Linked DNA regions of Rattus norvegicus. The protein of the gene in region 3 interacts with the protein of the main gene of each other region in a pairwise test. Links are inferred from orthologs where the notes say so. Each region holds a gene or a part of one and is shown on either strand. Other genes may lie near its edges.

What was found.
Region 1: the proteins of Tk1 (region 3) and Crmp1 interact in a two-hybrid assay, tested with the Homo sapiens proteins (2 studies listed by BioGRID and IntAct). The link is inferred for Rattus norvegicus from reciprocal best matches to the Homo sapiens genes TK1 and CRMP1.
Region 2: the proteins of Tk1 (region 3) and Aplp1 interact in a two-hybrid assay, tested with the Homo sapiens proteins (2 studies listed by BioGRID and IntAct). The link is inferred for Rattus norvegicus from reciprocal best matches to the Homo sapiens genes TK1 and APLP1.
Region 4: the proteins of Tk1 (region 3) and Unc119 interact in a two-hybrid assay, tested with the Homo sapiens proteins (2 studies listed by BioGRID and IntAct). The link is inferred for Rattus norvegicus from reciprocal best matches to the Homo sapiens genes TK1 and UNC119.
Region 5: the proteins of Tk1 (region 3) and Tle1 interact in a two-hybrid assay, tested with the Homo sapiens proteins (2 studies listed by BioGRID and IntAct). The link is inferred for Rattus norvegicus from reciprocal best matches to the Homo sapiens genes TK1 and TLE1.
Region 6: the proteins of Tk1 (region 3) and Lrif1 interact in a two-hybrid assay, tested with the Homo sapiens proteins (2 studies listed by BioGRID and IntAct). The link is inferred for Rattus norvegicus from reciprocal best matches to the Homo sapiens genes TK1 and LRIF1.
Region 7: the proteins of Tk1 (region 3) and Gdf9 interact in a two-hybrid assay, tested with the Homo sapiens proteins (2 studies listed by BioGRID and IntAct). The link is inferred for Rattus norvegicus from reciprocal best matches to the Homo sapiens genes TK1 and GDF9.

The regions. Positions count from the first base shown.
Region 1 is NC_086032.1:77,778,117-77,782,378, forward strand, and holds the start of Crmp1 (dihydropyrimidinase-related protein 1), read right to left. Parts: upstream 2,801-4,262; 5' UTR 2,707-2,800; coding exon 2,326-2,706; intron 1-2,325.
Region 2 is NC_086019.1:94,831,811-94,835,962, forward strand, and holds the start of Aplp1 (amyloid beta precursor like protein 1 isoform 1 precursor), read right to left. Parts: upstream 2,801-4,152; 5' UTR 2,734-2,800; coding exon 2,587-2,733; intron 1,727-2,586; coding exon 1,583-1,726; intron 691-1,582; coding exon 558-690; intron 384-557; coding exon 271-383; intron 95-270; coding exon 1-94. UniProt on the Homo sapiens protein: May play a role in postsynaptic function. The C-terminal gamma-secretase processed fragment, ALID1, activates transcription activation through APBB1 (Fe65) binding. Couples to JIP signal transduction through C-terminal binding.
Region 3 is NC_086028.1:103,534,778-103,538,277, forward strand, and holds part of Tk1 (thymidine kinase, cytosolic), read right to left. Parts: intron 923-3,500; coding exon 833-922; intron 558-832; coding exon 438-557; intron 360-437; coding exon 174-359; 3' UTR 1-173. UniProt on the Homo sapiens protein: Cell-cycle-regulated enzyme of importance in nucleotide metabolism. Catalyzes the first enzymatic step in the salvage pathway converting thymidine into thymidine monophosphate.
Region 4 is NC_086028.1:63,738,999-63,741,898, forward strand, and holds the end of Unc119 (protein unc-119 homolog A), read left to right. Parts: intron 1-502; coding exon 503-616; intron 617-1,079; coding exon 1,080-1,182; intron 1,183-1,357; coding exon 1,358-1,530; intron 1,531-1,791; coding exon 1,792-1,904; 3' UTR 1,905-2,400; downstream 2,401-2,900. UniProt on the Homo sapiens protein: Involved in synaptic functions in photoreceptor cells, the signal transduction in immune cells as a Src family kinase activator, endosome recycling, the uptake of bacteria and endocytosis, protein trafficking in sensory neurons and as lipid-binding chaperone with specificity for a diverse subset of myristoylated proteins.
Region 5 is NC_086023.1:90,978,129-90,982,365, forward strand, and holds the start of Tle1 (transducin-like enhancer protein 1), read right to left. Parts: upstream 2,801-4,237; 5' UTR 2,691-2,800; coding exon 2,667-2,690; intron 2,029-2,666; coding exon 1,928-2,028; intron 610-1,927; exon of another isoform or gene 604-609; coding exon 540-603; intron 441-539; coding exon 396-440; intron 1-395. UniProt on the Homo sapiens protein: Transcriptional corepressor that binds to a number of transcription factors. Inhibits NF-kappa-B-regulated gene expression. Inhibits the transcriptional activation mediated by FOXA2, and by CTNNB1 and TCF family members in Wnt signaling.
Region 6 is NC_086020.1:196,994,222-196,998,492, reverse strand, and holds the start of Lrif1 (ligand-dependent nuclear receptor-interacting factor 1), read right to left. Parts: upstream 2,801-4,271; 5' UTR 2,643-2,800; coding exon 2,581-2,642; intron 1-2,580. UniProt on the Homo sapiens protein: Together with SMCHD1, involved in chromosome X inactivation in females by promoting the compaction of heterochromatin.
Region 7 is NC_086028.1:38,096,521-38,100,020, forward strand, and holds part of Gdf9 (growth/differentiation factor 9), read left to right. Parts: intron 1-30; coding exon of another isoform or gene 31-294; coding exon 295-427; intron 428-2,988; coding exon 2,989-3,500. UniProt on the Homo sapiens protein: Required for ovarian folliculogenesis. Promotes primordial follicle development. Stimulates granulosa cell proliferation. Promotes cell transition from G0/G1 to S and G2/M phases, through an increase of CCND1 and CCNE1 expression, and RB1 phosphorylation.

The DNA.
Region 1 (4,262 bases), on a different chromosome or scaffold from region 3:
GGACCCCGCTGGGGCCTTTCGTCTTCCACCACATGGAGAAAGCCAGTTCCTAGTCCACCGCAGGAGACCAAGAGGGATTATAAGCTCCGAGAGAATAGTTTATATTCAGAAACACTAGTCTGTGACTTTCCCCTTTTACAGACAGGACACTGAAGCTTGTAGAGATAAAGTACCGCGCATTTGCAGAGATAAAATAGCGTAAATTAACTGCCGCGGGGCAGCGTCAGGAAGCGGGTTCTCTACTCATTAAGTCCCGCCTGTGCTCTGGCCCCTAAATTCTCATTAATGACCGGAAGCTGCGGATGATAGCAGCACACTTCTGTCTCCGGATTCCCTTCCTCGGCAATAAGTCAAAGGTTCCAGTACCCCGGCATTCCCTGGGGTCAGTCGGGGGGTTCTGGGCAGGCAAGCTAGAGAGAGGGGCTGAGCCACGTGCAAGTCAGAAGGAAGAGTCCTGCTCGCTACTGGCCAAACAGATTGCTGCTCCCAAGCAGACTTCTCCGGTACAAAGCTTTACAGCCACCAGCCTCTGGCAACCGCAAATGTTGCGCCTGCGCTGTTGAAACCCCACCCCCCTCCCAGGAAAAAGCCTTATGGGCGGGGGAGGGGCCCGGGCACCCTTTGCAGGAGTGGTTAAGGCTGGTCCTAGATCCCTAGCCCTCTGCAACCCATGCCCTGTGGTCTTCAGAAAGTAAATTACTCCATCCAGCGGGGCCGTGATCTCTTCTACTCTAAGTCCCCACCAGAGAGTGCTTTGGGAGGCCTCGAACGCAGCCTTTTGTCAGGTCCCTAAGAAGTCGGGGAGAAAGGACAGAGGGGAACCGGGTGGTAAGAACACAGGAGCAGCTGAAGCAACTAGGGTCCAGAAACACTAAGGCACAGCTACCGGGCCAGCCATAGCAGAGCTGGGGACAAAGCTTGTGTGAATGACCCTGACCAGTGCCGCGAAGCCAGAAGGACAGCTCCAGGCCAGTCACAAAGAGCAATCGCCTCCGTGGTATTCCCTTTGAGGGAAGCCGAGAGCAGACTGCCACTCCCGGGTCACAGATGAAGACAGCTTAAAGAAGGTGAAACATCTCGACAGGTTCCAGGTAGTGGCTGGGTTTCTGGGCCCTGAAGCCTTTGGTGGAGCTAGAGAGCCTGTTTCCCACGCGAGGTCGTACTACCAAGGAGGAGATAAAGGGATAGGGAACTGGACTCTGGCTAGTTCCCTGCTCCTCGCCCCCGCCTCCAGCGCCCAGGCGGCAGATTCAGGACCACGGAGAGTTCCAGAGCGGAGGACAGAGCTGGAGAACACCGCCCATTTTCTTCTCCTCCAAAACGCCTGTCCAGATTACAGTCCTGTTCAAACTCTTCCTCCCTCTGAGTTCACTTTGTGCCTCTCATGGTGTTAATGGAAAGGACGAATTAATTAATTAATTAAACCGAGAATGATGATAAAACTCCATAGCAAGCATTTATTGATCACTCTCTACCTGATTGAACTTAATTCTTGAAATGAGTCCACAGCTCTCCCCAGCCAGGGAACTTCTGGAGGGTGGGGTTAGGCTGCCTAGCCAGCCCAGTCCAGAACTCAAGGGACAGCTCCCAGAGCTGTTCCAACTTCTGTTTCCCAGACACGTGGCTCTGACCTTACCCACCCTGTTCAGGACTCTTCTGTCTGACCACCCGTGTTCCCTGGTAAATTCCAACTTAGGGACGATAACCTATAAGGCCCAAACCCTGGCCATGTCTTTCCCTGATGTCCCTCTTCACTTTCAGAAGTCAGGGAGTCCATATGCCTGGGTTCAAATCCCAGATTCGCCTCCAGCGTATACATCCAGGAGAGGAGTGTCCTGAGCGATTTCTTACTGCCCACCTTCTAAATCCTTAACCACATCGTCCCGCAGGGAGGGGCGGGAGCATCTATATGAACAGAGTCATTCCGTGAACCTCTCTCTGAGCGGGTTACAGCCTAAGCGTTCCACAATCAGTGAGTGAGCGAATAGATAGATGGAGGAAGACAGAGAATGCCCCCCCTATTCACAGAACCCCGGAAAGAGAACGAGGCTTAAATTCATTTTACAGGTCCCTTAGCGGCAGCGGCAGCTGCCGCAACTTACTTCCCTTCTCAGAACCTGGCTTTGGCCTTCTGAGGCTCTGCTGGCCAACCCTGGCCTATCCTAAACCTCTCTGAACCTCTTGCAGGATGAAGTGGGGGAGGGGCCGTTGCAGTCCCCCAGAACCTGGTGGCAGCGGGTCCCCACACGCGCCCTCGCGCCACCCAAGCACTGGGTCTCCAAGGGCCCCGCCCCCCCACGTCTGGCCCACGTGCCCCTAGGGTACCTGGCCATTGTCCCGGCCGAGTGGTAGGTCGCGGGGCGCAGGACATCGGATGCGCAACGCCGGCGGTCTGTCATCGCGATCGCCTGGCGAGCTGACAGCAGAGCCCGAGGGCTCGCTCACATCGCTGGCCGTGTCCTCACTGCCGCCAGGGCACGGCAGGCCCACGGCGTCGGGCCGGCCAGCGCTGCGTGGTGTGCGCGCGGAGCCGCGGCGGCCCACGCTGTAGGCGTCGAAGTCGATGGTCTTGTTCTCGTAGGCTCCCTCCACGGCGGCGAACATGCCGCCGTACTTCTGGCGCGGGGTCTGCGCCGCGCTGCCTGGCCGCGCCAGGTACACCGGCAGGTCGTCCTCCGTGTTCCATGCTCGCCGCCGCTCCGCCATCCCCGTCTCCGGCGGTCAGCTCTCGCTACCGCTGGCTCCGCGCTGAGCGCCTCGGTGCGGGCCCGCGGCGGCCCAAGCGCGACTGCGGTCGGGCAAAGAGGGAGGGAGGAAGGGCCGGGGCGTGGCCCGCAAGGGGCGGGGCCGGGGCGGGGCGGGGCGGAGCCTACGGTGACCAAGGCCAGCGCCACTGCCAGCTACAAAGGACCACGGAGGCGGGGACGGCGGCCGGGGCGGGGAGAATGGTGACGTGCGGTAGCCGCAGCGCGGAGGGCGGGCAGCCGAGCCGCAGTGCCCTCCACGCACCCGGCTCTCCGCCTCCAGAAGGAGCGCAGGGCGCGGGCAGAGACGGGGTGGGGGCCGTGCGCCAGTGCACACCACACATACACACATATGCACGCACGCGTGTACACACGGTGAAGCTTCACCTCGCAAGGGATAGTTGCACAGACATCAGCCTGTCTGTACATGGTACATCTCCAAATCAGGTACCTCCGCGCTCCCTCCAGACAGCAGGCACTCCATAGATCACACACACACACACACACACACACACACACACACACAAGCTCACGCTCACACACGAGCCCGCGTACACCAGAGATTCTGTCAGGCAACCCCACGCATCATCAAAGTCGTACAAAAATTAAATGAACTTAGATGCACAGTCAGAGACAGACACATCCAACTCCCCATTGGCTCACTTGATGCTACTACACTGATTGCCTAATAGGATCTGGCACTAGGATAGTGCTGGGGACTGGACTAAGAGTAGAATAAAATCCCTGTTTGTTTGGTTTTTTTTAAACGCTAACTTTCTAAGTGATATGATACAAGAATGAAGCCTGCAGAACTCAGGAGCAGAGGTCCCTATCCCATAGCAAGGAGGCCATGTTAGCATTACACTCCCAGATGCTTGTAACTGAACCGATGACCCACACACCCGTCCCAACAACATCTCAGGGTGAAGAATTCCCACACTGCTACCAAAAGGAACTTCACAAGGCTCCTCCACACACAGGCCTGTAAATTGCTGATTGGCAACCCCTGCACATCCCACCAAATAAAAGGGAAGTAGGAAGAACCCTTAAACAGAAACCCTTTGGAGACAGATATTCAGGAATGGACACATGCAGCAGGCAGCACCCAGACAAAGGCAGCTATGGGCAATTCCCACATCCTGAATACAGTCAACTCTAACTGTGCTGGAGCTTAACATCTGGAGATTCGGGGGGGGGGGCTCCTTTAACCAGGAAGAAGGATGGAGACTTGGGGTCAGTCCCAGCCCCTTCACTTATTTATGACTTTCTAGCAGAGGGTCATGAGATTCCCTGGGGACCCAGGAATCTCAGCTGTGCTTTCTGGATGGGAGGCTCACAAGCTGCCAGCCCCCTAGGCAGACAAGTCCAAACTGGCAATCAGGATTGCTGGGGAACAGTAGGAAGCCTGATCCAGCATCTGTCCTTCAGTTGGCTTCCCCGGGCTAGGAGCTGTCCTTTCAGCACCTCCACCAAAGGGTCAGAGAGCTCTGCAGCCAACCTTGGAGAACCCCAGACAGT
Region 2 (4,152 bases), on a different chromosome or scaffold from region 3:
GACAGCATACATACTCCACACCTCGGAACCGATCAGAGCCACAGGGCAAAAGCATACCAGAACCGTGCAGGATGAGGCCCTGGGAGCTGCAGGCCTGCAGGAAGAGGAGGCCCGGGGGACCAGAATGACATGGTTGGAAGGTATGGACAGAAAGCCTGGAAGCTGGGTTCTTAAGTGGCTGAGGCATGGAATCCCTACATCCCGGTTTGAATGCTTGGGTTCTGGAAGGAAGGTCCTAGGGCTAGGAAACAGGTGGGACAAAGTCCTAACCTCTTGAGCCTCCTGGTGCCTCCTGGTTGAACTCTCACATTGGTCCATTCGCTCCTGGTGCAAGAACCTACAGCCTTCGGGCACCAGCAGGGCTTCACTCACGAATTCGCCAGCTGGGGAATGGGAGACACCAGAATCCTAGTAGCCCAGCCCTGCCCTCCTCAGAGTCCAGGCATTTCATAGCTTTCTCAACCCATCGCCCAGACTTCTAATGTAGACCGGAGTCATCTCTAGGAGACTCCCACTTCACCTCAGTTCCCACCCCACTCCCCCAACGGGTGACTCACGCAGGCAATGGAAGGGCACAACCTCATGGTGGGGGTGGGCACATCTGCCACTTCGGGTACCCCCACACCAGCGCTCCATCGGGATGGCCTGTGCAGCCTGCTCCACACGAGCTATGTGCAGCTCTGGGTACATCTGTAGGACACAGTGTGGGGGCGGGGGGCGAGGGGCGCGGTCAACCTACTGGCTAACCTCCGCCTTCTCCATCTCTTCTTTTGCAGTACTGGAGATTGAACCCAGGGGCTTGTACACGCCAAAGCAAGTGCTCTACCACCAAACTATATGCCCAGCCCTCTTTTTACTTTTTATTATGAGACTCCTTTATTATGAGTCTCCTTAATGTTTCCTAAACTGGTCTTGAACTCGTTCTGTGGCTTATATGGGTCTTTAATTTGTGATCCTTCTAAAGGTCCCCCCCGGCCCCTCCCCCCGCACGCCTGTTCATGCCAAGCTCAACTTCTCTGAGCTCACGTTTCAGGGCGACCTTGCTCTGCAATCAGGTTTCTTTCTCAATGTATCTCGGTCTCTTTCCTACCCTGCCTTTCTCTGACTAGCTTCTAAGTAACTGTTCTCTTTGTATTAGCCCCGCCTTTTCATTTCACCTCTCTTAGGCAGGCAGCCACTCTCACCCGGCTCCAAAACCTACTGAATCTTGTTGGTTTAAAGATCTTTTGATCTAAGCCCTGCCTCTCTTTCGGCCACGCCCACTTACACTCCCACTTTTTCTAAATGGCTCCACAGATTCCTAAACCCTGCCACTCTTCAGGCAAATCTTGATTAGTCGACGGTTTTTTTGCAGTCTCCTCCCCCCCACCCCCGGCGCCCCTAATTTCTCAAAATAGGTTCTGCGCTAGCCCCTCCTAGCCTCTTCGCTGGCCACAGACCCCAAGCTTTCCCTGGCTTTCCAGATCCTCTCATCTCCCTAGGCTCTGTCTTTCGCCAAATCCAGCTTCCTGAAGGGCGACCCCGCCCCAGCTTGAACCCACTTTCCCACTGACCACGCCTCTCCCCACGGGGTCCCGCCCACCTGTCTGCAGTACTCCAGCACGCGCTGCGGGTCCAGAAGACAGCGTCGTGATCGCTGTGGGTCTGGTTCCCAGCGGCCGGTGCGCAGGTCTCGGTGAAGGGTGAGACGCCCACATAGTCCAGCCACTTGAGCCGACCCCGGAGCCTGGGAATGGAGGCAGATGGGGCAGTGAGGGGCCAGGGAACGTTGTCATCTGGGTTGTCTGGTCCTTTGCTCCCTAAAATCCAGTTAGGACTCGTGCCCCTATCGTCTCTAGAACCAGATCCTTCTAAGCACCTCCTGGGTAAAGAGATTGTTCCCCGGGAAACAGATCCCATGGGGCTGAAGCGCCCCAGCTCTCCCGTTGCTATGGTGACCAGGATTTCCCCCCCCCGCCCCCGTTTCTCGCGGCCTTGTGGCTGAGAAGACAGGCTCCGCCCCCGCCCCAGCGGCTTGGGTCTGGAGCCTGAAGGGGTTAAACTTGAATCGTGTTGGGGGCGGAGGGCGAACCCAGGCGTTCTGGCCCCTCCTCCCTCCATCCCCAGTTCAGGTTCCCACTGAGGGGGTGTAAAGATGACAGGGCCCAGCTTCCTAGCAGGCCTGCACATCAGACCTTTAGGACTAGGGGAGCTATATCCGGATTGAGTAGTGGGTGGAGACCTGGAGTCCTGGATGTTTGAGGGCAGGGGGTTCATGTGGATACAGAGGATACAAGGGATCTGGGTTTTTAGATCCAAGTGCCTGCTGCCTGGTGGGTCCTACGCTTAGGTGGGCAGGGCTTGGGGCTTTGTCGTCTAGGGGTGCTCTGGATTTCTATGACCCGGGGCTCTTGGAAAGAGCCAGGTCCGACGATGCGGGTGGGAGGGGGCAGGGACGTCAGACGATGGAGGAACCTAGGAATATCTACAGTTCGGATCGCGTGGGGCAGGCCACCTGGCCAAAAGGACTGCGGTGGCCGTCCCGCGTCCAGGTCCAGAGGCCCGGTCCCGCCCCTTCCCCATCCCCAGGACCCGGCCGGGCCTCACCTCGGCCGCGCTGGGGCTCCCACCAGCCAGGTTCCCGACGGCGAGCTGCGCGCGCAGAAGCAGCAGCGACAGTGGTAGCAACAGCGGCAGCGGCGGCGGGCCCCGGCGGCGACCCTGACCGCGAGTGGTGGGGCTGGAGGGCCCCATGTCCGGGCCTCGGGCCCTCAGGTCCCCTGCGCTCCCGCCCGGCCCTGCCCGGCCCCAGCGGTGACAGGAGCTCCCAGCGCCACCGCCGCCGCCGCCTCCTCCTCCTCCCGCCGCCCCCGGGCTGCGCCGGCGCCGCCAGCCCCGCCCCGCGCCGGCCCCGCCTTCCCAGCCAGGACAATAGCGTGGCGGCTCTGCGCACTGAGAAGCTCGGGAACCCCGGGAGGGAGCCTGCGCCAAGTCCCAGCCCCTCCAGATTCCAGGTGTCACTGTCCTCGTGAAGGCCGAGTCACTAGGCTCAGTCCTGGGCGTAGCCGTTTTTTGGACTTTCACCCTTAGCCTTCTCTTCTGGCAAACTCAGACACCATCATCAGCTTTGTCCTTCAAGGACGCCAGAACCCATGGGGGCAGAGGTCCTCCATAAATTCCTCTCTTGAGGCCCCAGGAATACAGGCCTCCATAATTTCCCCAGTCAAGAACATAGGGAGTGTGACAGGAATACCTGTAATCCGGGCATTTGAGAGGAGAGGACCTGAGGATAGGAGTTTGAGGCTAGCCTGCCTACAGGCAACCAGGTCTCAAAAGAAGAAACATTGTAGTTAAGTAAGGCCGACTCCCTTCCAGGCCTCTTCAGTCTCAGCACCAGAGGCTGTCTCCCACCCTTGCTTCCTCAGACCTAGGAATTCAGCCTTCCTGTCCTGTTTGCTAGGTGTCTGGACCTTTAAATACTCCCTCCAAAAATCCATGACCAAAGCCCTAGAACCCTTTCTTTAAAGATGACTCAGGCCAGGGGCTGGATAGTATAACCTTCGAAAACCCAGCACCTAAGGACCACTGTGTGGAGTCCCCGTTCTCGCCCACTCTGAGGACCACCTTAAGTCTTCTGCCTAAAGGGGGTCACTGTTTTGTCTTTTTTTTTTTTTTTTTTGGAGCTGGGGACCGAACCCAGGGCCTTACGCTTCCTAGGTAAGCGCTCTACCACTGAGCTAAATCCCCAGCCCCCACTGTTTTGTCTTAAGTGTGTGTAAAATATTCTATTTTCCGGGCCAACTGAGGCAGCCTAGCTGCGTGCGCGCGCGCGCGCGCCCGTGTGTGTGTGTGTGTGTGTGTGTGTGTGTGTGTGTGTGTGTGTGCATCTATATGGCCTTCGAGCTGACGGTCTTGTGGGAACCTGCCCGCATTTGCCGTCTTTCTGTTTGCGTGTGTGCATCTCTGTGGGTGTGATTGGGGTGAGATGGAGACATGTTATTAAAAGAGCCTAAAGTGGAATGCTGATGTGCACCTGTAATCCCAGAGGACCTGAGGCAGCGAGACCAAGAGTTCCCGGCTAACCACTAGGAGAAAGCTCCGTGGGTAAAAGCACTGGCTGCTCTCTCAGCAGACTCAGGTTCAATACCCACACTGACAATAACTCCAGTTTCA
Region 3 (3,500 bases):
AAGAGAGAAGCGTTGGGTTGGGGGCTCACAACCATTATAAGAAGGGAACTAAGAAAGGTTTCAACAAGCAGATAAGCCAAGGTGCAATGTCCAGTAGGAATGGCAGGCCCCGCCCCTTTCCCTGCTCTCTGGGAGTCCAACCTGGGGAAGGAGCTGGCAGGCCCCGGGTCCCCTCAGTTGGCAGAGTTACACTGTAGGATTTGCTGAGGGGCAAAGAGCTTCCTGACAGCCGGGATCTCTATAGGCTGCCCCAGCACTGAGTAGTTCTCTTTGTTGTCTGCAGTCTGGGCTGAAGACTTCTTAAAGTAGCACAGGCGGCAAACAGAGTGGTACTTGTCCGCTCCGCCAATCACCTCCACCTGGTAGGAGAGGCGTATGAGGGAGGACTCAGAAGCCTAAGCCCACCCCACTCCGTGGGCAGAAGCACAAGGAGATACCTCTTTCTCCAGGCCCAGCCTCTTGGTGTAGGAAGCTTCTCGAAAGCACTCCATGCACACAGCGGTGAGCTTCACCACACTCTCGGCCAAGGGCACCAGGTTCAAGATGCTGCCGAAAGCCTACACAGGACAGCAAAAGTGTTAGCCAGGCACTTCCCTCCCTGCCTGTGTTCACGTGTATGCGTGTGGAGGGAGTTCTGCGGAACTGACGCAAGCCTGTGTGCAAGGCAAGTGTGTTACAGCCTGGGCTGCCCCCAGCCCAACGCTTCTCTTTTAAACCCCATGATTCAGCAACATCATACTTTACTGGTCCTGCTTCACTAGAGAGCTGCATGGGGAGACCTTGCATGCTGTCTCCCCTCTCAAGACCGCTGCCATGGGTCAGACATCTTTACCTTCCTCTGGAAGGTTCCGTCCAGCGCCGCCACAATCACTGTCTTGCCTGTATTGGCCATCGTTTCACAGAAATCCACAATGTCAGGGAACTAGGAAAGTTCAGAGAGGATGAAGTGAGCCGTCCTGAGCAAGGGCCTCATGAAGACGGTGAGGGATCCGAGCACACAGGTAAGCCCAGAGCCGGAGATCAGACCGCACTGCCACTCCTGTGAAACATCCCACCTGCATGCCCACTGCTACCCAGGGCTGGCCCACAGAGGCCTCTACATACCAGAGAGGCTGGAACAGCAGTTCTCAACTAGTGGGTCGAGACCCCCCTGGGGTTGAACAGCTTAAACAGTGTGCATGAAGCCCTTGGCTCCACCCCCATCCCCTACCCCCACATCAAATGAGCCAGACAAGGTGTCCAACACAATACCACTACTTTAAAGGTAGAAGGATTAGGAAGTTAAAATAAACCAGGGCTGGAGAGATGGTTCAGGGGTTACAAGCATGGCTTGTTCTTATAGATAACTAGAATTCAATTCCCAGCACCCACAACAGATAGCTTACAAACCATCTGTAACTCCAGATGCAAGGACAGCTAATGTCCTCTTTTGGCATCTGCAGGCACCCACCCTCACATGCACACATGCACTTTTAGCCCCCATGGACAGCTGGAGGGAGGAAGGGAGGGAAGGAGGAGGGGGACTCTTGGTAATGAGATGTACAAGGCGTACGTAAGTAGGTTGGCAGGGATAGCTGCCCTCCGCCTTCCACTGTCTCTCAGGCCAGCCTCCCCCTTCACAGCACGGGTGTAGACCAGGTTAGCCTTGAACTCAGGAGATCTACTTGCCTCTGCCCCTGAAGTTCTAAGATTAAAGGCCTATGCTATGAGCCTGGCGCTTCCATTTCGTTTGAGCTGGGTCTCTTCCTGAATCTGGAGCACAGCTACTGGGCTGGGCTGCCTAGTCAGGGAGCTCCAGGGGCCTGCCTGTCTCTGCCTTCCTCACACTGGGATTATGGACATGTGGCTATACCCAGTGTTGTACACGGGTGCTAGGGACCCAAACTCAGGCACTCATGCCTGCAGAGCCAGGGCCTCCCTCACTGACAGAACTGTCTCCCCATCCCTTCTGTCTCTCACTTTTGATTGGTTACTGCTGTGCAACCCAGGCTGGCCTGGGTTGCAAAGCAATCTCCTGCCTGCCTGGTTCTTGGACCTTTTCTTGAACATATCTCTGCCCTACACCTTAACGTTCTAACCTTTCTCTTCTTCCACGGTCCCTCCCAGTTTTAGTCTTTCAACGGAGGTGAGGTGGAAGCTCCAGATTTATCTCCAGACCTAGAATGCCGCAGCCAAAGGGCAGAAACTTGGAATGGATGCGATTGGTCCCTGGACTCAGCCATTCCCACAATAGTCACAGCATGTGACATGGCTTGCTCTATAAAAACACACGTGTATAATTAGAAGCGTCCAGGCTGGACTGGCATTCATCAGAGTCCTGGCACTGGCTGAACATAATCTCTTGGGTCAACACCAGGCAAGGCAGGCACCCTGGCCGCATGAATAAAGACCCTTCCTCAGTCTCACGTGACCACTGACAAAGCAGGTGCAGTCTATGCCAGAAGCAATCAAACAAGCACCACCCTTCCGCCAAAAGGAGCTCGGTCCCCTCCCGGAGGGCCACTGTTCCACGACTAGTGTTTGCCCCGTGGCAGGCTTTAGAACCCACAATATTGGCTCGCAGGGCATTCCTGGTAGTTTCTGGTTCAAAGACACTTAAGTGGCAAGCCTCCTTTGTCTGGTGTGCTCCTGCTGTGCCCTACATTGAGCCTGTCATTACTGCGTCAAAAAGAAGGGAAACAAAGTTCTTAACGATGCAAGCTTCTAATCTTGCCCAGAAGCTGTGGGCCCTGCTTCTGGTGAATGAACACACGGGAAGCTCTATGTCCTCAGCTCTGGCTCCAGGGACCCTACAGGACCCTCTACCCACTGTCTGAGGACACAGGAAGGAAGGGCAATCTCCTTGTGTTACCACGAGGAGATCCTGAACTTAGTAAGGAACAGGGTCTAGAGTCTGGGGCGGAAGCACACAAGAATTGTGTTGTTTATACAGTGCACACTGAATACTCACTGTAGCCTGTGCGAGGGCCCATGACTACACAATACCAGCACTCAGGGGCCCGAGTTCTAATCTAGCCTGGACCACAAAGCAAGACCCCACCCCAAAACTCCAAGTAGCCACTAAATGAACTCGTTTTCCTTAATCATAAGGTGGGGTGGGGGTGGGGCGCATAGAAATAAATCTCTCCTATAGGTTAGGATGGGGAAGAGGGTTGGGGCGACTGGTAGGCTGGTGCCAGACCTGGGTATGAGTCTATCAAGCAGGAAGAGCTAAGAAAAGAAGGTAGTGGGCTGGAGAGATGGCTCAGCGGCTAAAAGCACTGACTGCCCTTCCAGAGGTCCTGAGTTCAATTCCCAGCAACCACGTGGTGGCTTACAACCATCTGTAACGGGATCTGATGCCCTCTTCTGGTGTGCATGAAGACAGCTATAGTGAATAAATAAACAAATCTTTAAAAAAAAAAAAAGAAAGAAAGAAAGAAAGAAAGAAAAGAAAAGAAGGTAGTGCCTAGGGAGTGCGGCTGGGCCTCTGGGAATACCAGGAGAGCACAGAGTAAGCA
Region 4 (2,900 bases), about 40 Mb from region 3:
CAGTGGGGGAGGGGCGGGGCGGGGCAGCAGGGAAGGGTACCAGCCTGCCCCGATACAGCCCATGCAAGGGAAAGTTCCCCTCAAATCAGCCTTGCCTGACACCTAGATGTCACGCCCCAGGGTTGTGTGTGGTGAGGGTGGGGCGCACGCCCAGGAAGAACTGTAACTCTCCTCCCCCGAGAGCTGCATGCTCCCTTTGGAGTGAAGTCCCCCTCATGCTGGAAGCTTCCACTAGGCAGGAGGTCCAGTTGTCCGAAGGATGCATGCCAACCTTGCAAAGCCGAGGTTGAAATAAGGATTGCCAAGAGGGTGGGAGGGTCGGTATGGTGGAGGTGACTTGCCTTGCCTCTGAGGCCACTAGGATCGTCCCTGTTCATCCTTGACTATAACAAAATTCTGTCCCCTGCACTGTGGGGGCTTCTCCAAGACAGGGGCCCACCAAAACTGAATCCACAGTGGGTGTTTTGGGGTCCCTGTTTGCTCAGCTGCCTGTCTCCCATAGACTACCTGTGCTCCCCTGAGGAAAATATCTACAAGATTGACTTCGTCAGGTTCAAGATCCGGGACATGGACTCAGGGACTGTTCTTTTTGAAATCAAGAAGCCCCCTGTTTCCGGTGAGTGGGATTGGAGCACCATTGAGAGGAAAAGGTGGGCAAGCACAGTGGAGCGGGCTGTCTAGGTTCTTTGAGCCACAGAGCACAGTCCAGACTTGAACTTCAGCACACTCAGGTGTCTGTGGGCAGACAGGCCTCTTCTTTTTTCTGCCACTGTTTCTCAGGGTGGACATATTGGGAGCATTGCCCTGTTTAAGTACTGGTCAGCCTGTCCTCTGCTGGCCTCCCTAGGAACTGCAGCCCCTAAGTCCTCCCATAATCCTATGCACACCCTATGGCTCTGGGAACCCCTGAACACTGGTGACTTGTTGATCTAGAACCCTGTAGGTACCACTCTTCAACAAAAGTGTACCAGAATCTCCTGAAGAGTTTAGAAACGTTTGAACAGAGGTCCTTGGGGGAGGGTGGAGTAGGCAAAGGCCCCAGCCTGAAGCCCACTGAGCCCAGCTGGGGTACATTACAGAACGGTTGCCCATCAACCGGCGGGACCTGGACCCCAATGCAGGGCGCTTTGTTCGATACCAGTTCACACCTGCCTTCCTCCGCCTAAGGCAGGTGGGAGCCACGTGAGTCACTGGGCTGGGGTGAGGGCTGGGGGGCGAGTGTGAGGGTGGGAACAGCCCCCTTCCAGAGCCTCTCGGTGGCAGTCTGCCTGGAGCCTTGGAGCCTGGAGTCCCTTGGCTGGCTGGCTGGATGGTTGGTGTGGAAGCTACTCAGCTTTGCCCGCTTCTCTTAACTCAGGGTGGAGTTCACAGTGGGAGACAAGCCGGTCAACAACTTCCGCATGATTGAGAGGCACTACTTTCGAAACCAGCTCCTCAAAAGCTTCGACTTCCACTTTGGCTTCTGCATTCCCAGCAGCAAGAACACCTGTGAGCACATCTATGACTTCCCGCCTCTCTCCGAGGAGCTAAGTGAGTGGAGATGTGGAGAACCCAGGCTCAGTGTCGGGAGGTGGGGGGTGGTACCTGTGCATCTGGTCCCCGTGCACCTACCCTGCATCACTTTCTTACCTGGCGCCACTCCTGTGTCACCAGGAGGGAAACAGGCTCAAAGAGGCTGAGGAACTCTCTGAAGTGGTTCATCTGTCCCTGCCTCCCTCTCTCCCAGTTCTAAAGTCCCAAAGGGTCTGGCTCAGGGTCCTGACCTTTGCCCTGGGTGGACCTCTCTTGCAGTCAGTGAGATGATTCGTCATCCGTATGAGACACAGTCTGACAGCTTCTACTTCGTGGATGATCGGCTGGTGATGCACAACAAGGCAGACTATTCCTACAGCGGGACCCCCTGACCTCCAACACTGCCCCTGAGGCTCTGGCCTGGACCCTGTGCTGTGACCTCTCCAACACTGTCTCTATTTGGGGATGGTTCCAGTGGCTCTGGACCCTGAGTCAGTCTTGAGAGGAAGGTTCCCCAGCATCCCTAGGCAAGCCTCTGAAGCTTGTGGGAGGGACAGCTCGGGAGACTGTCCCCATGTTCAGGAAGGCCTCCTGCAAGAGGAGGACTTCCGGATGCCTCACTAGGTCCACTGGGCCTGAGTTTCAGAGTAGTGTTCCCTTCTTGACTGTGACTAGATCAGGTTAGGGATCCGTTCCCTGTCCCTTGCCCACCACCTCCAGGGTGTTTATAGTTCACAGACAAAGATCCACATTGGGTACCCTGGTCTCAGTCCTGGCCTCCTCCATCAGGGGCCAAGAAACTGCCCGAGGTGTGAGCGGGGTGGGTCCAGATTGCAACCTGTAGGACCTGGACAAACTGTATATAGTTTTCAATAAACCTTTTCTGTTCTTGGGTGTGGCCAGCCTGTGTGTCTATAGGGAAAGGCAGGGGTGGAGTGGAGTAGGAGGGGTTCGTGTTCGTTGCTTTTTATCATGACAAAAGTACACGAGAAAATCAACTTAGAAGAGGTAAGATTTACTTTCAGTTCAGAGGTTTCAGTCCATGGCTGCCACATGGCCCTGTCACTGGGGACCCTCTGGTGAGGGAGAGCGACATGGTAGGGGAAAAGTGGGCTGGGGCAGAACTGCTCACCTGGGAGCAGAAGCAGAGAGAGAGAGACAGACAGAGTGAGAGAGCACAATATACCAAGAATAAGGTCAGAACAGGATACCCCTTGCAAACATTCGGTCCATCTCCCCCATCTAGGCCCTTACGATCACTCGATATCGCCACTAGCTGGGGACCTAAGCCTTTGAGGGGAGTGTTTATATCCAACCACACTGATCAAGAGAATAAGAACCCTCACTTCCCAGTGCCTTCTGGCCAGGGGGTCTTCCCTGGCCTCAGA
Region 5 (4,237 bases), on a different chromosome or scaffold from region 3:
CACTCTAAAGTCAGATGCTTTATTAAATCCAATTAAAGAAACACCCAAGTACCCTTCACTTTCCACATTTTATAAGCAAACATGAAAATATGAACTGTTCTAAACTCCAGTGACCACAATATATCCGAGACCTTTAAAGGAGGAATCCATCCATGTGGAAAAGCAAACTGAGCTCAGTTCCTGTCTACCCATAAGCATTTCCAAAGCATCTCACCTAGCTTGTCTTGTAACTGTGAAGAAACAATCCTTACTGCAGAGTGCTAACCACCAACTCACAGGGGGCAGACAAACAGCCCACAAACACCCACCCCTTAACATGTGGTTACCGAGGACAAAGCCGGTACAGTGAAAGCCTACAAACTGATTTCGAAGCTTAAGATTTAGCTATAGCTTACCTGTTTATGCATTTCAATGTTTAATCCATATGACATTTCATAATACTGTAAAGAGAAGAACCAGGCATGCCGTTAACTCACGGTTGTGGGAAGGACACACACCATTACAGAAAGAGAAAAGGTCCTCCTCGCTTTGATACCTACCATCACGTAGTGTCTCTGCATTTCTGTCTTTTCACTTGCCAATTTCTCACACTCCAATTTAAGACTATGAAAACAAAACAGGCAGCTTAAGGTAAACATTATGTCACTTGTTTTAACATCTGCCTCCCATATTTGCACTTCAAGCAAAAACAATTTAGAAAAGTTGTAAGCTGGGCATACTTCCTAAAAGCTGTCTTTGTATTCCATGCTGGAAAAGGTGAACAACGGGGAATATCCACCAACTACTGTCCTTTTTTGTTCGTGGGGCACACGTCCCGTAGAGAGGCCAAGAACGGAAACACAGATCTCTCAGCTGTCCTCCCCTCTCTTGACCGCACCAAAGTCTGTCCTTTGCACAACCCCCATTCTCCAGCAAAGACAGTCTTCAGGTCTGAAAACTTTACTGGTAAGTAAAGTTACTCCTCTCAGTGACTAGTGCCTTTCAAAACCTTTTGAATCCCTGCCAAGACATGACAAGCAGCTACAGCAAACGAAGTGGGTTGAAGTTCTTCTGTCCCTGTTCAGTAAACAGTGTGTGCAAGTATGCCTCAAGTTCTGGAGATACGGTATAAAAGTAGATAAAAGGTCAAAAATCAGAGTCCCTGACTAACTTTAGAAAATTCACACCCAAGCCACCAAGCTTCTCCTTGGTCCTTTTTCTCAAGCATGATAAAAGTAAAAATCTTCGAAGAAACTGCTTTGCGCCAATTAGTCAAAACCTCATAGTAGAAAAATAAGTAGCTTTTCTGGACTATTCACTACAGATGGGGCTTTTAGCTATAATTTCCACTAACCAATCCAAAGAAGAAGGTATGATTACATAAAGAACCCAGAACAGAGGTGAATGTGATTCTAGTTCCCTAGTCTATCCAAACACCCCAGAGTGTGGGCCACGCATAACTACATCTTACCACCTAATCACCCTTGATGGGCACAGCTAAACCCATCTAGCCTTCCCTAATGGACTTTGTCTCAGGCAACCCAATTTTCTAGTATGGCAAACAGCGATTGCAACACGGCTTTGCTTTCCTGAACGCACATTCTAGGACTGAGCCATTGATTGAACCCATGTTTCAGTTCAGCCTGTTGCAAAACAAATAAACGAAGCGCAAATATTGACGGTTCTCATGCAACTCCAAAATACACGAAAAGGGACTCCCTGGAACTGCCACAAATGCGCAAAGGGGAAACAATGGGAGGAGGAGGAGACAACAGAAGGGACGGCCCAGGAAGAGCGACGAAAGGGGGGTAATGTGAATGACAGGACTTAACTGTGACTCCACACGCCACCGCCTGGACACAAGCCCTAAGTACAACAGCCCTAGCAGCCTGGCCTGTGTGAGAAGAGACCCCCCAAGTGACCACCACCCGAGCAGGTCGACACGCACCTGTGATACTGCGCCTGCAGGAACTGGAATTCCTCTTTAATCCGGTCCAGGGACTCCGGGATAGTGAACTTAAAGGGCTGGCCTGCAGCCTGGTGCGGCGTCTGCAGGTGACCAGCAAGGGTAACCAAGGGAGGAGATATGAGGATGAGGGCATAAAGCAGAAAAGTCAGAAGAGGGAGAAGCAGATGGGACATAAACAAAAAATAAATAAATAAATAAATAAATAAATAAATAAATAAATAAAGTTAGAGGTGGTGGAAAACGGAGGCCCAAACTCGAGCCCTCGGTTCACTTTAGTGAGGGAGAAAGCAGATCTTCCTGGGACCCTGATTTCTCAGGAGGTTCAGAAATAAGTCTGCCTCCAGTGTGGACAGTGTGTGCCCAGTGCTCTGGGGTCACCCGGCCCGGAGGAGGCTGAGAAGGACCAAGTCAGAGCTCCACTGTCCCGGCTGCCCCTCCCCAACCGGTGCGAGAAAGACCCAGGATCTGGAGATGAAATGCCAACTCCCTCTCGGCCCCTAGTCCCGGAGTGACCGGGCCGCACTGACTACAAGTAAACAGGCAAGACGAGGGCAAAGCAGGGATCACTCCTGCCTCGGGATAAGCGGGCAGTGACTACGCGACGCCCGTCCGCCCGTCTGCCCGTCTAGACATCCAGTAGGAGGGGGGGCGGGCAAGGGAAAATGGGGCTTCCTGGGCTCCCGCGCGGGGCAAGGTCCCACCCGCGCCGACGACTCACTGGGTGCCGGCTCTGAGGGAACATCGCTCTGGCAGCAGCCGCGGCTCTGTTCCGGGATAGCTCTATCCTCCGCGCCACTTCCAACTTGAATTCCACCGAGGAACGCGAAGCAGCGCAGCAGGCCGGCGCACGGGGCGCTCGGGATGCAAGGCCAGGGCGCGACGGGTGCGGCCCCCGCCCTCAGGGCCACATTGCGGGCGGCTCGGCCCCGCGCCTGGGAGTCTGAGCAGCGGGGGCGCCCGGACCTACCGCGGCCCTCCACCCGGTGCCCGGGGTGCGCTCCCTTCGGTGGCTCACGGATGCAGGGGGGCTGTGTGTCTCCTCCCTGCGTCGGCGGCTGTGCAGGTGGCGCCTTGGCTAAAACCCACGTAGACAGCCAGAGGCGAGCGCCGCTTCTCGGGTCGGGAGGTCACCCGCTCCCACGACGGTGTGCTCCGGGTTACCCCCGGCTCGTCGACCGGCGTTGCAGAGTCTCCGGCGCGGCTTGAAGCTGCGGAGCCCAAGCAGGGTCCAGGCAGGGTCACGCCAGTATGCGCTCTTCCTCCAGTCCACGGCTACTGCTCGCGGTGCAGCTCTTTGGCCGCCCGCCGCGCCCCTGCCCCGGGCATCAGGCCGCCGGGCGCTTTACCCGGCTCTAACACTCCTAGAGCCTGCCTTCCCCTCCTCGGCTCTAAGCAAAGGGCTGACCAGCTCCAGCCGGCGCAAAGTTCTCTCACGACCCGGAGGCAAACGTCCGCGCGACGGAGAGCACGCTGCCGCTCTGCCTCCCTCCACAGAGGGCCACGTCGAAGGCGAGTCCCGGCTCCTGCCCCGGGACGCGGGGTCCCCGCCGCTGCTCCTGCCGCCGCCCGCGCCTCTTGCGCCGCTTACATTAACACGCGGTTTCACACTCGCTAGCAAACCAGCACCCCGCCCGAGCAGTGTGGCGGGGGCTGCAAGCACCCAGGCGGCCACGGACGTGGGCGGAGCCGCAGCCGCTCGGCCAACCACGTGCGCCGCTCCAACGTGGGTTACTGACGCATGCCGGCCACAGCCTGTGTTGGCCTTCGCTCCGCCCACCTCGCGCGGCCTCTGTGCCTTGTTTCCCCGCCCACCCGCCGGTGCCCCTCCTCCGCCAGCGCGTCCTGTGCGCTCTGAGTGCCGCGGCGCCCGAGGAGCTGCGGGGCACCCACGCCAGCCAATGGGGAGCGGCTAGACGCCGAGATTGGCAAGCCGCTTCCGAAGGTCGGTGGGAAGGAGAGCGGCGGGCCGGGCTGTCAATCAAAGTAACGTGGGGCGAGTTAGGGAGCGCGCCAGTGCGCGCGAGCCGAGCGACCTGCGCGCGGCAGGCAAGAAAAAGCAGGGGGCTGAAGTTTGCAGAAGCCTGCGGCTCGCTCTGCTTTTCCTTGAAGAAAATCTCAGTGAAAGTACCAGAGACTAACTGCGGGGTTTCTTGTTGGGGGAGGGATGCGTCTTGCTAACAAGAACAGAATGCGGTTTTCCGGTATTGGTTCCTTTTGTGCTACTCCGAAGGTGAGATTCCATTCACAACTTTATCGGAGGCTTATTTTTCCGCGAGCTGCTGTTCCACG
Region 6 (4,271 bases), on a different chromosome or scaffold from region 3:
TCTTCCCACCCGAACGAAGCCACATGCTGAGAGCAATAATTTTAACTGGACATTTGGGTTTGTCTCATTTAATTCACAAATATTGACAAGAAAACTGGCATAACATCTTCCCAACAAATGGTAATTTCCCAATCAGGCATGCATAGTTTTCATCCCATTGCTATTAAATCTAATCCCTATTCTCTGCTATCTTGTACAGCCCCTCAGACTTCTCAAGTTATCTGAAATACAATCCTCATTCTAAATCAGCACTGTCATTAGTTATTCAAACTATACACATAATCTTGTCAATTCTATTCAAAAATTTTCTGAGCAATCAATCTCCAATAGATGAAATGGTTAGTGGACTGAAGCAACCTTAATATAGCTATTATGCTGCCTGTGGTACACACTGAATAAATAAGAATTCAATGCAAATCTTAATACATTAAATGAACAACACTACAAATATACAGATATTTGCACTGCTCTTATAAAACGGAGTTTCCTATTTTTATGCCTGATTAAACCATATAAATTAAATAATAAACGTTCTTTATCACAATACTGATTTTTCTTTAAAAGAATTCAAGGAGGGGGGGAGGGGAGAAAAAATTGAAAAAAAGAAAAGAATTCAAGGAAAGCTGAAATATTTACAGAAAAGAAGTCCTATCATTTTTAGAAAGAAAATAAATGAGTGATTAAAATAGAAAACAAAAAAACTTCCAATAAAACAAAACAGTGATATTAAATAAATTATTTACATAATTACATTTCAACAGTAGGCATGGTGTTATTAAAACAAAGAATAATCAAACATGTAAGCAGTAATCAAAGTGTCAAATATCCTAGGAAACTATCTTGTGTTAAATGCTCCAAATTTGTTATGATAATACCAGAAAATTTAAAAAATAAAAGCATGAAAGTATAACAAGTCACCAAACATAAACTAATGAATCAATAACGTTCAAATTACTTATGAAAGTACCCAAAACATAGCTCAATTTAAAATATTTTTCAAAGTTCTAAATTAGTCAAAATTGTTAGAAAGTGTTTAAAAGAGAACCCAAGGGCACAATAAAAAACCTCAATGTATCACTTAAAGTGATACATTAGTTACTTCTAGGGTTGGAATAGAATACGATCTGTAAGTTATGTCATCTATAATATATCATAAATATACAAAATTATTTACTACAAAGCATTTCTTCTACTTCCGCTTCTCTGGATAGGATTCAATCTATCTTTAAATCTTCACAAAATACATACTACCAAAGAGCTGTCTCCCTATTTACCGTTAATGATGTTTGCTTTTCTTTCTTTTTTTTTTTTTTTTTTTTTCTTTTTGGTACTCGCACAGCAGCAACTTCCTGTACATCCAGCTACTTGGAAGGCTGATGCAGGTGATCATTTGTTTTTGTTAGACTAGGGTTTTAAGGGAAAATGTATTTTTAAAAAAAATCATTTTTTTTCACTGCAATTATGGTTTGTATATATTTGTAACTAAAATAAACTTACCTGGGCTAAAATCAGTACACAAATTCGCGTTCTTAAACTTGGAGCAAATATTTAAATAATCCTTTCTTAAACTATTTCTTTTCCTGGTTGTTATTAAAATAGTCCCAGGAACCGTTATTTTTTATCAAAAAATGAAGCATTAGTCTCATGTATAGTAACAAAGTTGCAATAAACACCAGGTAGATTTTCTTGTTTCAACCATAATTCCCTTTCATTAGTTTTGCTTAGTTTTCATATCTTTGCTTCTGAACAAATATACTCATTAACTTTGGGAAGCATAAATTAAAACATTGTTCCTTAATGAATATTTTGTGGTTCTTGCTTTTATTTCATCTGGATTAACACAAAATTAAAAGAAAAATGTTACTGGTGAAACATTTTCTAACCAAAGAAGACTGTCACAGCCCTTCATAAGCCTAATACTAGGTAAACTGAGGCTGGATTGTGGACAGCCTTGGCTATATATGAGTTTCCTACCCAGCCAGAGCCATACAGTGTTTCAACTGTTTCTTCGTAGAGACAACCAAGGAGAAGCACTCCCTTTAGACACATTTCAAATGGGCTACCTAGAAAAACTGACTTCACATTTCAAGTTTTTACTTTTCTCTGCCTTATTTGAAAATTTCAAATACTAAAGTCCCTTGTTCTAGAACACATTTTCCAAGTACATTAAAATGCGACTATTTTCAGGTGAAGGGCCAGCGCCCCGGGACTGCACCTGCATTACAATCCACCATAGGTTTTATGGGCGTGTTTGAGATCTTGGAGCATCGCCATGTTGGTTTTTTCCGTGGGTGTCTACTTGGTCCACCTATGAAATTCGAGCGGAAGGCGTCGGGCACGCCTGAATCCAGAAGAAGCGAACTGCGTCGTAACCGAGGATTGTTTTACATTTGGGGAGGGCAGAGAGCCAGGGGCTTTGGAGCGCGCGGGGTTGGGTGGGATTTGTGCTGTGAGGCTGCTGAGATCCGACGGCCCGGCCGCAAGGTCCTGCTGCGCGGCTGGACAACAGCTGACTCGGCCTTGACAACCTAAGTCACAGGGCGTGGGCGGGCGCGTGAAGGGCTGGGAACTGGTACTTACCAGTGCGAGCCTGACTTTTCTTCTGCGGTTTTCAGAAAGACGGTCTGGAGTCTATTAGACATTTTAGATGGGTGGGAGGGGACAGGGTAGTGAGTAGCGTGGGGACAGGGTCCCCAAGTAGGCGCGAATCAGAGCGCGAGTGTGGAGCCGCAGGCACTGACGGGAGCGAACACAAGTGTATGGCCGAAGATAGACAAGAGGGTGGCTCCCCCGGCTTCCGTGGGAAGTGGCTGTAGAAGCCGGAAGACGCAAGACCGCGACCATACCCTCCCACCTCAGGAAAGCTCACTGTTTTCCGGCCAAGTCTCTGGCTACGTGACCGATCACAGCCAGTCAGAGCGGACGTGGGGGCGTGGCATCGATGGACCCGCCCTGAACAGGGCCTGGTCAGAGACCGCGCCCACTAAAATGAGCCCCTAGAGCCAGCAAGCCTATGCACTTAGGTACTGCGTCACAAACCGGGACCGAGGCGAATGGATCGCTGTGGCCCCGCCCTTATGACGTAGTCCAATTGACAACGAAGGTTGATGTGTCTTCTTCCGGATCAAAGGAGGAATCAAAAGAGAAACTTCTTTCACTGCCTACACGAAATGAAATATTTCCGGTGTCAGGCTTTAATTGTCTGCACTTGTAGAAATGCTTTTGCAAGCCAATGTAATAATGTCTTCCTTAGCAGTTTGATTCAGTAGACATGGGCAGGCATTTAGTAGTTGCCATAAATTGTTGAGAACCTTTATATCCATTTCCTGGCTAGAACTCTTAGTCTTTTGCTTTTTAGTTCCTTTAGTTTTGCCTCTACCTTAACGATTAACCATTTTCTCCATTCCCACACTCATACCTCAGTTAAATTGTATCTTATTGTCATGTATTCAATTTCTTGAGTCTCTGAGCATTAAATCCCCTGTATAAACGTTTTGAAACTCTTTTTTAAATTTCCAGAGACCAGCTCTGAATTCTCTAGATTCCTGCAGTTATTCCAAAGTGACTATTTGAGAATTGGGATCATACTGTTTAATGGGTAGAAGGAATTGTAGTTTAATTAGGTGTGGAATATTATGAAATATTCTTGTATGCTCCACTGTTTAAATCCAGGCCACTGATAAGGTAGACAATTTGAAGGTTTACATGGTTATTTAAAAATGGAATTACTTACCAGTCTTAGTGACACACAAATGTAATCTTAGCACTTGGAAAATACAAGCAGGAGGATGGGAACTTTAAGGTCACCTTTGGTTACACAACAAGTAGTACTACATGAAACTTGTCTCACAATAAAGGAATTAGAAAAGGTTTCCTCATTCCCCTAACTGCTGAACAGAAAAGATTTTTTAAGAACTTCGGGTCTTGATATGTTAAGAGAAAGTGACATGTTCCTATTTCTGAATTTATTTTTCAATAAAGTACCCTTTCACCCCGACCCTCCCATACTAAAGGCATCAGGGAAGATAGGCAGACCTTAATGCTTTCAAGCTTCCTGGCATCTTTTGTCTATGAAACCAAAGTTACTAGGAAAAAAAAAAACTAAACAAAACTAAACTAGAGAAAAACAAATGCCTTTTGCCACATGTTGTGATGGGTGCCTTTTATTTCAGAACTCAGGAAGAGATAGGTGGGTCTCTGAATAAGAGGCCAGCCTAGTCTCCATAGTGAGTTCTAGGTTAGCCAGGGTTATACAATGAGACCCTGTTTAA
Region 7 (3,500 bases), about 65 Mb from region 3:
AGATGCGTTCCTTCTTAGTTCTCCCAAGCCATGGCATTTCCCAGCAGATTCCTGTTGGGGGTTTGCTGCTTTGCCTGGCTGTGTCTTCTTATTAGCCTTAGCTCTCAGGCTTCCACGGGAGAATCCCAGGCTGGAGCCAGTGAAAATTTGGAGTCTGAGGCAGACCCCTGGTCCTTGCTGTTGCCTGTAGATGGGACTGACAGGTCTGGCCTCTTGCCCCCCCTCTTCAAGGTTCTCTCTGATAGGCGAGGTGAGACCCCTAAGCTGCAGCCTGACTCCAGAGCTCTCTACTACATGAAAAAGCTCTATAAGACGTATGCTACCAAAGAGGGGGTTCCTAAACCCAGCAGAAGTCACCTCTACAATACCGTCCGGCTCTTCAGCCCCTGTGCCCAGCAGGAGCAGGCTCCCAGCAACCAGATGACAGGTGGGTCGGAGGAGATTGTTCAACTGGGCTGGGGGACAAGACGGGCTTTACTGCTGCTATAACTATAAGGAGCCACACCTTGATTTGGGTTTGGTGGTTTGTTTTGAGGCAAGATCTTCCCCTGTTACCCAGCTCCTCCTGCCTCAGCTCCCTGAATACTGGAATCGCACAGGTTTTCACTGTTGCTTGAATTTTATTTTACATGATTCTCAGTATCCGACTGAAACAAACCTTTTAAGTTAGCACTTTTTAAAAAGCTTTAAAAAATTTTTTTTTGGTGTGGTTGTACTAAGGATTAAATTGGTGGTGGTAATGGGGCTCACATATGTTAGCTAAACCTTCTGCTACGACATCCCTGGCCAATAGCATTGGTTACACTGTTTGTTTCCTAAACCATCTTTAGTTAAGAAACTAATATGGTAGATCTGTCTTGTTCGAGTTTCCTTTAAAGTTTTATTGTCTTAGACAGTCTCAAACTTGCAGTGACTCTCCTGCTTCAGCCACTCTAGTGCTGTGGGATTACAGGCACACGGCAGCACAGCAGCTCAGTGTGTGAAGGTTAAAAGAGACTAATGCGGGGCTGGGGATTTAGCTCAGTGGTAGAGCGCTTGCCTAGGAAGCGCAAGGTCCTGGGTTCGATCCCCAGCTCCGGGGAAAAAAAAAAAAAAAAGAGAGACTAATGTCTTGAAAGGCCAAAGAAAGTTCTGGAGGTAGCTAGTATCTTTCATTCTACCAAGCTGTTGGCTGATGGTGCCCTAAAACTTGCCTTTGTGGTGGGTGATATGGGACATTTCCCCTTGTTTCCCTGGAAGAGGAAAGTTTCAGTCTCCTCTGCACAGTGCATCTTCTTTAAAAAAAAAAAACATCGGCTGGCTGAGATGTGGTACCATTTATGTCCTAGATACTAGGTGCCTAGAGTTTGACCTCCAGAACCAACAAGACAAAACTCACCTGGGGTGCGGTGACTCATGACTTTAATTCTAGCCCTCAGGAGACAGGAACAGGCTAATCTCTTTGAGTTCAGGGCCAGCTGGGTCTACAGAGTGAGTTCCAGGATAGCTAGGGCTACACAGACCTCTCTCAATAAGCAAGCAAGCAAAATCCCAAACCTCCAAGCATTAGTCAGCAACGGGGGACCTGTTTAGTAAGAAGAAGAGTTGTGCTTTTAAAAACCAAAACCAGCAAACACCCGGGGCTTTGGAGGTAACTCAGTGGATGAAGGCTTCTTCAGCAAGCCTGACAAGAACCAGCTCCTACAAGCTGTCTTTCAACCTCCATATGTGCTCCACACTCCCCATGCCCCAATACAGACACACACACACACTGGCCACCAGTTCATGAAAACCATAACTGTCCAGGGCAGTTGTGGCTGTTGAAAGCTGCCCTCCCCACCCTTGCCCGTTTCACTGTAGCAGCCTCATACCCTCCATTTGTTTCCAATCTCGACAGTCAAATGTTTCCAACCTCGACAGTCAAATGTTTCCAAGTGACTTGTTTCATTCGGGTCTAGACTGCCTCGATAGTGTTGCTTTCCTGGTCTCCTGCCTGTGTGTGTAGGAATGACTCCACAGGGAGATACTCTGCTCCACTGTCTGTGTTTGGGTCTGAAACCGGAGGGTGTAATGATTGTCTTTGGTTTCACAAACCTGTTCTCACCTTTTTCTGAGATGAAAATTGTTTGCATGTGTGAGTTAGGGATGAGGATCATGAGTAGAAAGGCCAGAGAAAAGTTTTTTTTGTTTTTTTGTTTTTTTTTTTTTGGTTCTTTTTTTCGGAGCTGGGGACCGAACCCAGGGCCTTGCGCTTCCTAGGCAAGTGCACTACCACTGAGCTAAATCCCCAACCCCTGAGAAAAGTTTTCAGAAGTTGGTTCTCTTCTTTTACCATGTAGGTCCAAACTCAAGTCCTCAAGCTTAGTGGCAATTGTCCTTCCCCACTGAGCTCCACCCACCAGCCCACATTCTCGAATAGCCTGGCTGGTCTTGAACTCAGTCCATAGCCAAAGGGGCCATTGACCTTCTGGTCTTCTTGCCTCTATTTTCCAAGACCTGACTCACCCTGTGTGGATTTGGGAGGAGATTTTTGAAAGGTGTGTGTATGGGGATGGGGGATATGTCTCATGTAACCAACTCAGACTGCCCTCAAACTCACTGTATAGCCAAAGATGGCATTTACCTCCCAAGTACTGGCTTTGTGGGTGTGGGTTACCAGACCCAGGTGTGTGTGTGCGTGAGTGTGATGAAGGACTCTCATTATGTAGCCGAGGCTGGTGGCAATCCTTCTGTCAGCCTCCAAAGTGACAGTGTTACAAAAACAGACCTCTGTCCACCCGAAAGCATGGCTCCAGGCCCTTGTGCCTACCAGGCAAATGCTCTGCCACTGACTTATACCCCAGACCCTCCACAGTTTCCCTATCAGCTCCCTTCTTCCCTTTGTTTCTGAGGCTTAGGGGAGGGAAGGGAAGGGAAACTGCCTATGGTCAAGTACTAATTCCTCAGTCTCACTTCCTGCTTTCTCCAGTTCGTTTGCAAACATTACTTACTGGTGGCTTCTCTTCTCAGGACCCCTGCCAATGGTGGACCTGCTATTTAACCTGGACCGGGTGACTGCCATGGAACACTTACTCAAATCGGTCTTGCTATACACTCTGAACAACTCCGCTGCTTCCTCCTCCACTGTGACCTGTGTGTGTGACCTTGTGGTAAAGGAGCCCATGTCTTCCAGCAAGGCTACCCCAAGAGCGCCATACTCATTTACCCTGAGGAAACACAGGTGGATTGAGATGGATGTGACCTCCCTCCTTCAGCCCCTGGTGGCCTCAAGCGAGAGGAGCATTCACCTATCTGTCAATTTTACATGCACAAGAGACCAGGCCCCAGAGAATGGAACGTTTAATATGCCTCTCTCAGTGCCGCCCTCGCTCATCTTGTATCTCAATGACACGAGTACCCAGGCCTACCATTCCTGGCAGTCCCTTCAGTCCACCCAGAGGCATTCACAGCATCCCGGCCAGGGCAGTGTGACTACCCGTCCTGTGGAAGAGGAGGCTACTGAGGTAGAAAGATCTCCTCGG